2 linked regions of the Daphnia pulex genome follow. Each later gene encodes a partner of the first gene's protein in a complex. Links are inferred from orthologs where the notes say so. Each region holds a gene or a part of one and is shown on either strand. Other genes may lie near its edges. The genes, in order: protein HBS1-like and protein pelota-like.

Evidence for each region.
Region 2: protein HBS1-like (region 1) and protein pelota-like share a complex: the UniProt entries of both Drosophila melanogaster proteins name them as parts of the pelota-HBS1L complex. The link is inferred for Daphnia pulex from reciprocal best matches to the Drosophila melanogaster genes HBS1 and pelo.

What each region holds. Positions count from the first base shown.
Region 1 is NC_060024.1:1,849,745-1,852,237, reverse strand, and holds the end of protein HBS1-like, read left to right. Parts: coding exon 1-201; intron 202-285; coding exon 286-515; intron 516-592; coding exon 593-612; intron 613-687; coding exon 688-898; intron 899-971; coding exon 972-1,151; intron 1,152-1,227; coding exon 1,228-1,427; intron 1,428-1,492; coding exon 1,493-1,747; 3' UTR 1,748-1,769; intron 1,770-1,851; 3' UTR 1,852-1,961; downstream 1,962-2,493. UniProt on the Drosophila melanogaster protein: GTPase component of the Pelota-HBS1L complex, a complex that recognizes stalled ribosomes and triggers the No-Go Decay (NGD) pathway.
Region 2 is NC_060025.1:2,076,844-2,080,862, forward strand, and holds protein pelota-like, read right to left. Parts: upstream 2,400-4,019; 5' UTR 2,293-2,399; coding exon 2,252-2,292; intron 2,189-2,251; coding exon 2,096-2,188; intron 2,018-2,095; coding exon 1,867-2,017; intron 1,798-1,866; coding exon 1,543-1,797; intron 1,476-1,542; coding exon 1,253-1,475; intron 1,185-1,252; coding exon 992-1,184; intron 932-991; coding exon 825-931; intron 754-824; coding exon 659-753; 3' UTR 549-658; downstream 1-548. UniProt on the Drosophila melanogaster protein: Component of the Pelota-HBS1L complex, a complex that recognizes stalled ribosomes and triggers the No-Go Decay (NGD) pathway.

The sequences.
Region 1 (2,493 bases):
GCGCGGCGGAACCAAGGCGTTGCTCAATTTAGTTGTTGTCGGGCATGTCGATGCGGGAAAGTCAACGTTGATGGGTCACTTGCTTTTCCGGTTGGGCCAGGTTTCCGCCAAGCAGATGCACAAATACGAGCAAGAGTCTAAGAAACTTGGAAAGCAATCGTTCATGTACGCGTGGGTACTCGATGAAACTGGGGAAGAAAGGTAAATACCACAAGTTAGCAAATGTTTTTGAAGAGTGTTCAATCAATGCAACGTAATTGCTGAAAATGTGTATCTTTTGATTAGAGCACGTGGAATCACAATGGACGTGGCCCAGTCGCAATTTGAAACGGAAAGCAAATCCATAACCCTTTTAGATGCGCCTGGACATCGAGACTTTATTCCTAATATGATTTTCGGAGCAGCTCAAGCCGATGTTGCCCTATTGGTTGTCGACGCCACCACTGGTGAATTTGAAACAGGATTTGAAAGTGGCGGGCAAACTAGGGAACATGCTCTCCTCGTGCGATCTCTCGGTATGATCAATTCATTCTTTGTGTTTTTACTCCGTTGATCTTGTTTGAAATTGATTTTTATGTCTGATTTTTTTTAGGTGTCAGCCAGTTGGGAGTCGTAAGTTCATTTTTATTTGATAAAAAATGTATCGAAATTTCTAACTTTAAGCTTTGAAACGAATATTCAACTAAGGTCGTCAACAAGTTGGATATGGTGGGTTGGTCACGTGATCGTTTCAATGAAATCTCGGCTCGCTTGGGTGCCTTTTTAAGACAAGCCGGCTACAAAGAGCAAGATGTATTCTACGTTCCTGTTTCCGGGCTCAGCGGAGAGAATCTCACCATTTCTAGCGAGCCCAAACTCACCGAGTGGTACAGCGGACCGACTTTGCTTCAAGCTATCGGTACACAATATTTCCATACGTTTCAAAGCCTAGCAGCTGTGTACGTTTTAACGATTGCAACTTTGGTATGTAGACAAATTTCGACCACCGGAACGTGCTCTAAATCGACCTGTTCGCTTCGTGATCAGTGATATCTTTAAAAGTGTGGTCGGTAGCTCTGGCTGTTGCTTGGCCGGTCGTCTTGAAAGCGGAATGATTCAGACCACTGATAAACTTCTAGTAATGCCTTTAAACGAAGTCATCCAAATAAAAAGTATTCTTTTTTTAATTATTTTTATTCTAATTGGATTCCTAAAAAATAACGTGTAATGTTTTATTATTTTTTGTAGATATCGCCATCAACGACAACTCAACGGGGTCATGTTTCGCCGGCGACCAAGTGGTGCTGACTGTAAGTGGTGCTGATCTCAGTGACGTCAGCCTTGGCTCTGTCTTGTGCGACCCCAGCCAGCCAATTAAAGTGACTTCACGCATTCAAGCCCGTGTGGTGATATTCAACGTCGACATCCCCATCACCAAAGGCTATCCGGTAAAATAAAATGGACTCTCACATTTGTAAATCTTCTTTTAAATGAACCGTTTGATTGTCTGCAGGTGGTGATTCATTATCAATCCCTGTCTGAAGCAGCTACGATCACCAAACTAATTGCCCAGATTCACAAGAGCACCGGTGAAGTGATTCGAAAACGGCCTCGATGCTTAACGAAACAAACCAGCGGTCTGGTGGAAATTGAAATTTCTCGTCCCATCTGCATGGAACTTTACAAAGATTACAGGGAACTGGGTCGATTCATGATCCGGGCAAGCGGTACGACCATCGCCGCCGGGCTCGTCACGAGTATCATGTGACGTCAATTACTTTCTCGTTAAGGTATTCCATCGAAACGGTGCATTAATTGTGTTTATTACCAAGCCGTTTGACATGTCCAGTAACGCACACTTTCTATTTTTAGATTGGGCAAGAATCGGTGGCGATGGATATTGCTTCCAATGCTGGAAAATTTTGTTGCGGTTTTCTTTGTTTTTTTGTGCATTGGTCCCAAATATAATGAGATGACGAGGACATGGAAGTGTTTTTTTCTGTTTTTCACACGACTTTGAACCGAATAGAAAGCAGCTAGCGCCTGGTAATTCACAGCGAAGGATCGGTATTGACGTAGTTTTGCCGTGTTATTTCAATTGATGATTGGTCTAGTCGAATCACATTGTCATTTATTTATTTCAGTATCAGCCGTATATAGCCAACAAAGTGCTAAGTGCCAAGCTATTACTTTCAGGGGATAGACCACAAAGCCAGTCAGTTTTATTGTCGAAGGGAAAATGGCTTTCACAATGGATACTTTCTCGCCAAAATTGGATTCAAGGGGAATCCAGCGGGTCGGGAGAAAGACCCTTTTTATTATTTTTTGTTTCTTTTAGGACCTGCGATTATACTCGATGCTGGGTGAGTAGCTGCTACCGCTACCGTTGCTAACGTTTCCGATTATAAAACACGGATGGAGTTTCGCCATTGGTTCTACTGACATTCACACAGATTCAACATTGACAATAGGGAAGTTGTTTCTTGGACTCTTTAGGGACTACGTGACGGTGAA
Region 2 (4,019 bases), on another chromosome or scaffold:
ATGATCCCCAGTTGTTGAGTACAATTGTTCATGCCATAAATCACTCAATGGCAACCCTATTAACTTTTAGTTCTACTCCTGCAATTGGGACAAAAAAAGTGAAAGGTTGCAAGGTGATCTAATGAAATTGCCGAATTGTTGATGTCGTGAGTCATCTTGAGGTATACGTGCACACTGCACAGCTCAATTTACAGGTTAGATCACATAAATGGAATGGTCTCTTGAATCAGAGAGCAATAAACTTACTGACCGAGATTCCAATTATAACTGAAAACACACAGATATCCTTGTTTCAGACTCACGCCAAACATAGTCACGCCCTGCAATTCGAATGTTTAACGTGTATCCACTTCTAGGCTTTGCCGATTCCAAGAAGAAACATTTACATACAACACGGGGAAGGTCTCATACCTAAAAAACAAAGTGGTCGATAATCTGTTTAAACACAAGTAAAATAAAAAAAAAATTTTTAAGGAAGAAATTAATAATAATTGGTGTGAATATATCCTATGACTAAAAGTCTAAAACATAGTTTTGGCAAAATATTATTTAACAGCAGTGACTTCCTTATTTTATTTACACCTCTAACATAAGTGCAGTGGGGAAATATTTGGACTGGACTTAAAAAAGGCAAGGAATCTCTCGATTGTTAGCTTTATTATTCTGAGTCTTCATCACTGTCCAACGGTTCATCTTCCAACTCTGGCATAGGAAACCTAAGCACTGCGGCCACACCAGTTAACTGCATAAGTTCTGTTTCAAAAGAGATATTGTAGTCAAGTTTCCGTTTTCGTATGATTCAGTCATTAAAGGAAAGCACTTACGTTCCCCCGAAACGTGAAGTGAGGAGAAAATGCGGGCAATACCTCCATTGTCTCGCACACTTTCAACGAGCTTAACGTACTTTTTACGTTCCTCAACACTTTGAGACCTGATAGAACAAGCTGATTAATAATTTGCATTTGAAAGTAGTTTATACTTCAATGTATACCTGAAAAGATTATCGGAAACCAAAAGAGTATCAATAGCTTGACCTTCATTGGCTTTTAGAACGTGTTTCAGGCCGTAGAAGGCACGACTTGGCTCTGTTTGTAGAATTGAATAAAAATTTTCTAGTGCTTTCACTTCGGCCATGGCTTTAGTATCGGCCATTCGCGATGTGACAGCGGGATCGGCTAAAACTTCTACAAAACGTGGAATGTTAGCTGAGAAAAAAAAGTTAAATAATTCATGTTCCCGACCTTGCACTTGCCTTTTAATGAATGTTTAAATCCTGACGAGGCGTGAATAAGAAGAAATTTTGATTTGTTATCGATCAGCATTCGATTATCATTTTTCGAAGCCCATTGCATCATGTATTCAAAGAAATGATCCTTCACAAAACCGGGAGAGGCGAGCAAAATGCATCGGGTGACTTCAAAATTGACGTGCCGAAGAATGGCTTGTAAGACGGTGTCGTAAAACTTTTGTAAACCCTGCGTCATAAATTCAAATGTCAATGCTGAAAATTTTGTAAATAATGAAATCAGGCCTTTAATAAACCTTTTCATGTTGTGATGTGCTTCCTTTTCTCTTACGAGGAATGGTAACATCAATTTTAGCTCTGACAAGGGTCATTGCTCCTGTGACCAGACAGACATTTGCCAAACCTTCATGCATAATAACTGCAGCAACATCTGCATTCTGACTCGGGTCACAAGCCATATCAATGCGTTCAAGGGCCACAACATCCCAGCAAGCTTTGGTTAGCGAAAATTTTCTGTTTGGCTCAATATCAACTGTGTGGTACGCTCCCATCTGAAAGTCAATTGTATGTATGAATTAATTGGTAGATGGACACTAAAATATGAAGTCATTCCATGATACCTTGACATATTGATTTTCTTCTATATTTCTTCCTTTTAACCTTAATACACAGGCCTGAGTATCAAAATCTATGGTTTCAACTTCTATAGTGAGCATTGTCCTTACTCGGCTGCTGGAAGATGAGCCAGTTGCCGATTCAGTTTGGACTTTCCTAAGTTTTATCAAAACAAAAATTTTTGTGATCAACATCGAGACACGTTTGTTTGTATTTGTTTTTAAAGGAAGATACCGAATTGTTGAGGCTCTGATGGTGTCTCCATGAGAAATAAGGTTGTAAGCATGCCACATATCTTCGGGATTCTCGGGGATGAGAGCGACCCGTCTAGAACATAACTAATATTACCAACTATCACAATTGATTTCGGATTTTCGAAGGTACACTGACCCTGTGCCGTCTCTGTCAATATATCTGCTGACGAGTTTCATCTTAAATTAGTTAGATTTAAAGTAATTGAGGAAGATTGAAGTAGAAAGTCAACAATCATGTTTGTGGAACACGAACGAAAGAACGCCATCTACACTTGGTAGGCGAACCGGTCAAATAGTAGAAAAGAAAGACGTCAGATGGCGAAAGTTTGATAAAATTTCAAAATTCAAATGATGTTTTCATTACGTTTGCTTTTAGCGCTTTCTTTGCGGAACGAGTGGCCATGCCATTTTGCATAAAAACAAGCGACTCACAATTTATCTACTATTTCCCTATTTGTCTGGTCTACCGATGACGGTAGACATCAAGCGAATGAAAGAAAAATGAATAAAGAATTGGCTTGATCGCTCAAAGAGTGTCATCCTTGTCTTTAATCTTAGTAGCCCAAGGCCGAACAACACTCACGAAACAAGAATTTTGTTTCATTTCGAAATGGCCGCTTTGCAGCAAGGCTGCGACGGTTTTATCAGCAGCGCCGGCCTTAATGAAATGCAGACATTTTTCAGGGAAAATTTCAGTTGCAGGCATGGGCGTCTTTCGATTTATTTTTGCACGTAAATCGATTGAAAGCGACACGCCTTGTTTGTTGTTCACAAAAGTTGTTGTGACTCCAATTTTTATAACCCCAATCCAAGTTCAATTGCTTGTTACACTTCAAACTAAACTAACCCAACATGCAACAAAGAAAAAATCAGTGACATCATGATTTGAAAGCTGTCGGCTATTAATTGGCTAATAACGTTGCTTTTCTTGGCCAAACAAAGTGTCGCCCACATATTCTACCCCGTTTCCCTTATCTTTCAGGTCGAATGGGCGAGAAATCAAAACAACCAAAACGACCTTTGTTCGTCGTCGTACTGTCGACCAGTTAGAACCTTCCGCGATTGCGTAAATTCATTCCCGCAGCAACTGCACGATGACGTGTTACGTTCGACTTTTTCGTTGGAATAAAACCCCCCACGCTCACAGTACCTTATTTGCTGATGGAACGATTTCCCGTCCAAAAGAAAATGCGGTGACGCATTTTACACACATATTGAGTCTGCGCTGTCTAGTTCCACAGCATGGTCTGCGCTATTAGTTTTTTATCCCGCGTGTAATTCACCTTTTTTTTTCTTTCTTTTGGCAAAACACAAAACTGCCAATAAATGCGTTGAGTGTATAAATCCAGGTTTTCCTTTCACCTTGCATAGCGAGGCGGACATGAAGTGCTGCTGCTGCGTTTATGGGCGTCGCTTGATATTCCATGACGTGTCCGTAATTTCACTTTTCAAAGAGAAGAAAAAAAAGAACTGCAGCAGCAGAAATCTTGTCCCGTTTTGGCATATGCAAGGTTTTCTTTTTCATCCATCAACTCGTCGTTAAATCGACATTATCTAGCGTGATAAGCAGCAAATACGCTTAACAAATCTACCGTCGATATCACAAAGAGGTATTTCGGGTCCAGTTTGTTGGTCACCTTGTTATTTTTCACCAACTTCCTGAAGGCACCATCACGTCATCTTGGCAAATGTTAACACATTCAGGTGGGCAAAAACGCCCATTGCAGAAATCCTTTTTGATGAAATCGTCCATATTTCCGCTAAAGAACGAAAGAAAGAAAGAAAAAACCCGGTTGAAGCTAATGAATACGCACATGCAATGTGTTGTGTGTGCAAGCAACAATCAAGGTCGCTTCCTCTCTGCGTCCACTAAACCTGAGAAACGGCCAAGACACACGTGTGTA